2 linked regions of the Oryctolagus cuniculus genome follow. The main gene of each other region encodes a partner of the protein of the gene in region 2 in a complex. Links are inferred from orthologs where the notes say so. Each region holds a gene or a part of one and is shown on either strand. Other genes may lie near its edges.

Region 1 (4,584 bases), on a different chromosome or scaffold from region 2:
CTAGCTCCCAGATCCCCCAGGGAGCCGGACTGAAGTGCTCCATCTCTGGGCTTTGGGGAAGCTCTATGCATGTGGCTTCCTTATCTCTGATGCTGCCCCAGGGACCCCTAGTACCCTCACAGCCAGTGACATCTAAGGCTAGCAAGCATCCAGAGAGCTACCCCCCCCCCCATGAGCGGTTTCAAAGAACAGTCTTCTGTGCCCGCCTGTCAGTCTTCTCCAGGGACCCTGAGAGCTAAGCCCCCAGAGCTCCCACCCACTGGGGCCCTTCCCGGTTTGCAGAGCACGCGGGCAAGGGCCTGCAGGAAGTGCATGTGTCTCCTGCAAAGGCAAAGGGTTCAGCCCAGAGAAGGCACCGGCCCGTGACTCCGCAGCCTCCCAGGGGAAGCGGGGGCCACAGAGCTGTCAGAAGGAACAAATGACTTGGCTGGACAGCCTGTGACCGGGCAGCACTAAGCGACCCGCCTGCCGTGTGACTCAGGTGCAGCCAGTTCCCACAGGTGGGGTACTGGACCGTCCCAATGGTTTTTCTTTGTTCCATTGTTTGTTTAGGCCCCCTCCCACCCACCCCGCTCCAGGAACCGGCAGCATCTCCCCTAAGAAGCTGGCAGGTCTCTTTAAGGGCCCTCTGTTTAGTCCGGTTACTCATATCCTAGACTCAACTGGAAACGGTGACACACGGGCTGTCACCATCTGGATTCAGCTATTATCTGCTTGGAGGAACTGGAAGGGGTTGCACAACGACCAGACCCACCCCACCTCTGAGGCCTGGCTGCCTCCTGCTGCTGCCTCTCCGCCTCCTATCCCACCCCACAGCACACACACACACACCCGCTTTCCCCAGAACAGCTCTCAGCCCCAGTCACCGAAAAAGGTTTCTCCCCGCTTAAAAACCTGGGCTTGGTTGTACATTTGCAATTTCATAAGGGTAGGACGGTAGGTGGCAGCAGCAAGCCCTGGAGGAAGGTTGGGGGGCGGGGGCAGAGGGGCGTCAGGTGAGTTACAGAAAATCCAAGAGCAAGTTTAACTTGGGGGCGCCCAGCCCGGGTGGGCGGAAGGCGGCTCCTCAAGGGGAGCCTGCGACCGCAGTGCCAGCCTCCAGGGGCGGGGACGGCCGCGGACCCGGCGGGTTCTGCCTGTCCCAGTGCCACCTCCTCCTCCCTGCGGTGCAAATGCAAACCGCTGACCGGAAAATAAAGTGAATGGAAGCGAGGACGCCTAGCGGGCGGGGGGGGGGGGTTCCCCACTTTCCGACTCCGGGCAAATTCCCCCCGCCGCGGCTGGAAGACCCCCCGCCCCGGACCGGCCCTGGGCAGGGCGGTGTTCGCGTGCCAGCGCGGGCTCCCGTCGGAATCCCCAGGGCACGGGCCGGCCCAGGTCTTCCCAGCCGCAGCGGAGCCCCGGCGAGGGGGCGGCCGGCTGCTCCCGGCTCCGAGCAGGCACCCACTGCGGGGCGTCCTTCCAGGGCAAGGGCGGGCGGGCGGGGCGGCGAGGAGAATGAGAGAAGGGGAATGGCATGGCCCTGGAATCCATTGCAATTCCACAACTTATATGGGAACGCCACGCGCTAAACTCAGCGCCAAGCAAGGACTATAAAGCAATTGAACCCTGCACTTCCGCTTGCCTGCGAATCCCCCCTTTACACCTCTCTCCAAAAGGGTGAACTCGGTCAATGGCCGCCTGGTCGGGCTCCCCGCACCAACCCGCCCTGCCCCCAAGCCCCCCGCGTCGGAGGGACGTCGGGCACCGCGTCCCGCGCCCCCGATCCCCCCGCCGGGTGCTCCCCGGGGCGCCTACCTTGCAGCGCAGCTCGCGGCCGGTGTGGATGCACAGCGCCCGGGACACATGCTCGCGCTCGGCTAGGGGCAGTAGCAGGTAGTCCGCGATGCGGCTGGGCCCCGGCGCGCTCCCGGAGCTGCCGCCGGCTCCCGGCGCGGCGGGCAGGGGCTGCGGGCTGCACGGCGAGCCGGGGGGGCTGAGGTAGTCCGGGGGGCTTGGGCACTCGGAGAGTCGCGGGCACTTGGCCGCCGCCGCCACCGCCGCCGCCGCGTCGTCCGCATCCAGCAGCCGTTTGGTCGGGGTGCCCCGAGCGGCCGGGAGCAGCAGGGCCGGGCCCCGGGGTTGCGAGGCGCCGCTCATGGAAGAGCGCACGGGACCGGCCCGCATCCCGTCCCCGGCCGGGGCGGTCCCGGCTTTGTAAGTCCCCGGATCCGCGCAGGAAGGCGCTGCGGGCTCGGCGAGGGCGCCGCGACTTCTTCCAGCCCGCGGGATGGAGTTTGCAGAGCGGGCTTGGCTCGGCCCCCACAGGGGCCACAGCGGGAGTGGCTGCTCGGCGCTGTCGGGTGCACACGCGGAGACCACGCTGGCTCAGCGGCCGGGGGGCGGAGGCCGGCTCAGGTCCTCGGACCCCCGCGGCCGCCGACTTGGGGCCCCCTCGCAGGGGGCGGCCGCCGCTATTGTTGCCGAGGCTGCCGACCGTCCCAGAGGCGGCGGCGGCCTGCGTTCCCGGGGTCCCGGGCCACGAGCACAGGATTCCGCGGGCTGCGCAGAGCCGCGGAGCCAATGCACGTCCCGGAGCAATCAAAGCCGGAGCAACTTTTCCGCGGCGCCCGGGGGTCCTGCGCGCGCTCCTGGACTGCGGGCGTGTGCGAGCGGGCGCGACGCGCTCGGAGAGAGTGACTGAGTGTGAGTGAGTGTGTGCGCCGCGCCGATCCCGGCCAGCGCACTCCTCCTTCTCCTTTTCCTCCACCTCCTCCGCCTCCCGGTGACTCACGCTGTATACACACACACACTCACAGGCCGGCCTGTGTAAACAGTTGGGGAGCCGGGTTGTGCAATGAGGTGGCCGCGACGACTCCGGCTCCGCCACCCGGCGAGCAGTCCCCGGAGCGGAGGGAGGAGACTGGGGGGGAGGGGCAGGAGGCTGGGGGGCGGGGGGTGGCCCGCGGGCCTGGGATGCTCGGAGCGGCGCGCGCTCGGGCGCAGGTGGTGCGTCCCGGGCCGCCCGGAGCGCGCGCACTCGGCCCCCGGGCTGGGCAGGGCAGGAGGCGGCGCGCGCCCTCCTTGCAGGCCCCCGGCTCCGCGCGAGCGGCCGAAGGAGGGGGCGGAGGAAAAGTTCCCGTGACGTCAGGGTCTCGGGGAAGTGGGCGGGAGGGCGGGGCCTCGGGGGGCGAAGCGGCCGCTGATTGGTGCGCGCGCCTCATTCACAGCGAGCACAATGGGCCGCGGGCACGCGCGGCGCGGTTCTCTGCACCCGCCGCTCGCTGCGGTCCCGCGGTTACGCCTTTGGCCCCGGGGATCCCCCCGCAGCCCAGCACCTGGGGAGCTCCGGTTGGAGCCGTGGGCGGCCAGGCTGCAGCCAGAGGAGAGGGGTGGGGGTGCGGAGGGAGCCTGGGGAGGGTGATGAGTTCCAGAGACAGTCATTCACCCCCACGCGGTAGTTCCGGGGAAGACCTGTGCGTGGTAGTGGATGTGGCTCCCCCCTCCCTTTTCCTGCCTCCTCCCAGCTCTAATCCCCAGCGTCTGTTCGCTTCCACAAATAGAACCTTCTGTTGGACGAAACGAAAGCAAACACGGGGCCTTCTGCGCCGCCTCCACCTCCTCGCCGCCCGGGTTGCACGGAAATAGCTTCTCCAGGCTCCCGGGCCGCCCCTTCGCGGTGACTCGCAGAAAGAGCTTCCTGAGCCGGGCGGGTGGGAAACAAAGGATGTGGGAGCGGGCGGAAGGGGCCCACGTGGCCGCGGCCGCCGGATCCCTGCCCCTCCCCGGGCCTCCGCACGCGCCGCGGAGTCTGGGGCGCGGGTGCCAGCCTGGGCATCGGGGTAGGTGGTGTGGAGGAGGCGGGGCAGTCATTGCGGCCACGGCCCCGCGGACGCTGCAGAGTGCTTAGGGTGAGCGCAAAGTGTGCGCCAGACCCTGCGCCGAGCTCCGTGAAAACAGCTCGGAATCGGAACCTGGTCAGTTTGGAGCCCCTGAACGCCCAAGGCAGGCGACCTTGAACTTCTGCTAAATCGTTAACTTTCTAAAACCAGGTAGAGCCCTAGGAATACATCCATTTCCTTATTAATTCTCCGTGCATTCAACAAACACTAAGCGTCTACTAAGGGCTAGGCGCTGGGGATTAATAGATGAAAATTAAAGCAGCAATAACAGCTCGAATTAGATGCGGCCTCCAGGGTGGGAGTCCCTGTGCCTAGCGTGGAACCTGTGGGACCACCACCACCTCCTCTAGTCCACGTCACGGAGGAAAACACTGAGACCCAGAAAGATGGGGAAATAGCTCACCAGTGGTGGAGCAATTGAGCACTTAACATCATTGGGGACCCAACAGAGAGATGGCAATTTGTAGGGGAAAAGAGGCATTAGGGAGGACTCAGAAGACCCTTGAGCTGGGGTCCAGTGGGACTGTGTGAGCGTTGCTCAGGTCCGGGTGGCTGTGAACAGTGCTGGTGGCCAGCCCAGGCAGGGGTGTAGGGAAGAGCCGGGTTGGCTGCAAGGGTGGTGGGGAGCTGAGCCAGCCCAGGCCGTCTGAGAGGTCGAAGGGAGGGCTCCAGCAGCACGCTTCGTTCTGTGGCCAGGAGGGAG
Region 2 (3,806 bases):
AGATCAACACAACTAGAGAGCTCTCATTTGAATTACAAGGTATAGCCACATAATTATAGACCAGTGTATACATGAAGTCAATATTATAAATAACCTTTGATAGTTATTTTATTTACTAACTTCCAGAAAAATGAAGTGTAGACCTGTGATTAAAATTAGACCTAAATACTATAAGAGAACCAACTGTAATCCTGTTAGATGGATACTATTAATCATTCCATTATGAACAAATTTAGGAGTAGGGAGATTTAGAAACTTACCTAAGATCACAAAACTTTAAGTTGGCAGATAAATTCAGAATTCAGGTGTTTAATAAAAATGCTATACTTGATATTAAAATACAATTAGATTCTTAGTATTCTTACAAATGATAATAGTAAGGAGTGTGCTCAACACTTACCTAGAGACTATGCTGGAGCCATTATAGAGATCACTAGCATATGACAACGTGGCCAAAGGTCGTACTGAATTATATCGAGTAAACTTGGATAAGCATTCCTGAAATTCATCCAGTTGGCTTGCAGTTCGACTGTCATCTATATGACAAAAACAAAACAGATGAATGCAATTATAAAGTTAAGTCAAAGATCAATAGTCACAGGTTGAAAAATATATTCTAAATGCAAAAAGCACTCTTTAAAAGACTAGTTTGCACAAATTAATGTGAACTTTTGATCTTACTAAAAAGTCTTGGTGGCTCTTTACAGAGAATGTGTCTTTCAACATCAATAGTAATTCTCTTTTCTTTCTTTTATCCATAATTTCTTGGAAAAGCAAAAAAAAAAAAAAAAAAAAAGATGGTTCTGGGGAAGAGAAACTATTCATTAGAGTAAAAATCTCTGACAATGGGGAAGAGTAATATATACACGAGTCAGGGTATACCCATGTTTATTTATTGCCAAAGCCCTGTTCAAACTTTATATACTTTAAAACAAAAATAGTTTTTTAATTTACAAAATTTGCTCATGAGGCCAGCGCAGTGGCGCAGCAGATTAAAGCCCTGGCCTGAGTGCCAGCATCCCATATGGGTGCCGGTTCTAGTCCCGGCTGCTCCTCTTCCAATCCAGCTCTCTGCTATGGCCTGGGAAATCAGTAGAAGATGGCTCAGGTCCTTGGGCCCCTGCACCTGTGTGGGAGACCCGGGAGAAGTTCCTGGCTCCTGGCTTCGGATCTGCGCAGCTCTGGCGGTTGCAGCCATCTGGGGAGTGAACCAGCGGATGGAGGACCTCTCTCTCTGTCTCTGCCTCCCTCTGTAACTCTTTCAATTAAATAAAATAAATCTTTTTTCTTTTCTTATATATATATATATTTTTTTTTTTTTTTGACAGGCAGAGTGGACAGTGAGAGAGAGACAGAGAGAAAGGTCTTCCTTTTGCCGTTGGTTCACCTTCCAATGGCCGCCGCGGCCGGCACACTGCGGCCGGCGCACCGTGCCTATGCAAAGGCAGGAGCCAGGTGCTTCCTCCTGGTCTCCCATGGGGTGCAGGGCCCAAGCACTTGGGCCATCCTCCACTGCACTCCCGGGCCATAGCAGAGAGCTGGCCTGGAAGAGGGGCAACCGGGAAAGAATCTGGTGTCCCGACCGGGACTAGAACCCGGTGTGCCGGTGCCGCAGGTGGAGGATTAGCCTATTGAGCCACGGCGCCGGCAAATAAAATAAATCTTTAAAAAAATAAAAATAAAAAATTTGCTCACATAATACTTTCAAGTGTTTCAAATCCTGTTACAAGAACACAATAAGAAACTGTGATGTATGAATTACTAATCCTCAAACATAAATTAAAAATATTTGAAGTGACTTTCATTTATCATAAAGGAAAAAAACACTGTCACTCAATGTCATGGTGGAGAATACAACAGTAATTCTGTCCATGAGAACACTGCATAAATACTATAAGTACCACTTCAGCAAACCACTCAGAGCCAAGGCATGTAGCATTAAATCATACAATCAGCTTAGGAAGTACCTGACAATAAATAAGGCTAATCTATGTTGCAGTATGTCTGCAGGCCTATATTGAAAGTGCTAATAAAAAAAAATCACTTGAAGTTCAGACTTATATTTTTCTTTCCAAAGAATGAAAAGAACAACACCGTTATTTTAGCTTCCTAGATTAAAAAAGTTTGTTACAGACTATCTTTCCATAATTTCTTCCTTATTTTACACTTATCCACATACATACATACAACTTTTTTTAGGTAAACAATCATAATTCCCCTCTTTAAATATCATCTGAAGGTGATAGTGGGCACTTGCAATGCAGTTCAGATGAAAGAATCATTCACTTGAAAGACTTATAAGACTATGACATACATGCAAAAAATTTATTTTATCTGGAAGGCTAAGGTTATCTTGAAAATAACTGTTGGCATGTAGAAATTTTAAAATTATCACAAAATTATAAATACTTGAGAAAACTAAGTAAGCCTTTGTTTCTGATGTTTTTCAAACTGTAAAGATTTAAACACTAAGCAAATCTATCAACCTGTATTACAAATGTCTAAGTTTGTAGTGCTTCTATTTTAAAAACAAAAGAAAGAACCTAACTAGCATTTAATATCATAGTGATATCAAGATAAAGCCCCTATTCCAAAAAATTATTTCCAGGAAATTTAACAACTTATACATAAAACATGGGTTACTGTAAAAGAAAAAAAAATCATCCACTGTACTATAGAGTAGCCTGAATATAATAGGTAATTGGTTCTTTTAAGTTTTATTATTGTATAATATAATAAATACTGGAAAGATAGTTACTTTACATTTATAAAGCTTTAACATTAATCAATTATTTTGAGAATACACAATCATAAGCATTCAAGTATATGTATTCTATTGAAGTCCATAATCCTTTTCTATGGTAACTAGACCTTTCCTTATTATGCAAGCTCATTAACAGAACCATAAAACTAATTCAGTATTTAAAAGAATAGCAATTAACTTTCAGTTACGTTGTTACGAAAAGGTAAGATTTTGTTGGCTTGGTTGTTTTACGATCAACATCTAATACAAATCTGCTGACCTATCACCTCTCTTATGTGTTCTCAACTACCTTTACTGCTGTATAGCATGCCTATCGTGCTAGTGACTTAAAGATCATTATTGGGGCTGGCGTTGTGGATAAAGGGTAGAGCTACTGCTTGCAATGCCAGCATCCCATATGGGAGCAGGTTTCAGTCCTGGCTACTACGCTTCTGATTCAGTTACCTGCTAATGTGCCTGGAAAAAAAGCAGAGGATGGCCCAAGTGCCTGGGCCCCTGCACCCACGTGGGAGACCAAGAAGAAGCTCCTAGTTTGGCCTGGTCCTGGCTGTTGTGTCCATTTAGGGAGTGAACCAGCAGACAGAAGATCCTTCGCTTTCTTTGTGTCTCCCTTCTTCTCTCTGTAACTCTGCCTTTCAAATAAATCAATCTCTTAAAAAAATTAATAATGTTGCCTACCTCAATCTCTTTTTCTACTCTTTTTGTTTTTTAATAACTGCCACATGGTCTACAATTGTATTTCGACATAGTACCATCAAATAACAGGAAAACGTTAACAAGAACTCTCTTCCACATAGAATGCAGTTCTCAGTCCACTTTCAATTTAGCAGCTTCTTACTGTAGTTTCTACTTACAGACTATTACAGAGGTTAACAAGGAGTTAGAGTCTGAGCCAAGAAATGACAGCTTTCTATGTGTAAAAGTTGCTTATCAATAGTTTTAAACTTATTCAAAAAAATATCTTGGCTTCCTCTAATCTTCCTAGAAAAAACACTACGTAAATCCAATACAAGGACTTTCAAAATGTGTATAAAAAAAGGAA

What was found.
Region 1: the proteins of COP1 (region 2) and TRIB1 are in contact, whole or in part, in a crystal structure (PDB 5IGQ), measured with the Homo sapiens proteins. The link is inferred for Oryctolagus cuniculus from reciprocal best matches to the Homo sapiens genes COP1 and TRIB1. Residues at the interface, in NP_071902.2 of Homo sapiens: Ile423, Ser425, Val441, Lys472, Tyr491, Trp517, Asp534, Ala556, Asn557, Cys559, Ala576, Asp577, His578, Lys600, Ala601, Ser603, Thr618, Lys643, Asn644, Phe645, Phe699; in NP_079471.1 of Homo sapiens: Asp355, Gln356, Ile357, Val358, Pro359, Glu360, Tyr361.

What each region holds. Positions count from the first base shown.
Region 1 is NC_091437.1:151,043,475-151,048,058, reverse strand, and holds the start of TRIB1 (tribbles homolog 1), read right to left. Parts: upstream 2,911-4,584; 5' UTR 2,167-2,910; coding exon 1,798-2,166; intron 1-1,797. UniProt on the Homo sapiens protein: Adapter protein involved in protein degradation by interacting with COP1 ubiquitin ligase. The COP1-binding motif is masked by autoinhibitory interactions with the protein kinase domain.
Region 2 is NC_091438.1:4,281,456-4,285,261, forward strand, and holds part of COP1 (E3 ubiquitin-protein ligase COP1), read right to left. Parts: intron 537-3,806; coding exon 401-536; intron 1-400. UniProt on the Homo sapiens protein: E3 ubiquitin-protein ligase that mediates ubiquitination and subsequent proteasomal degradation of target proteins.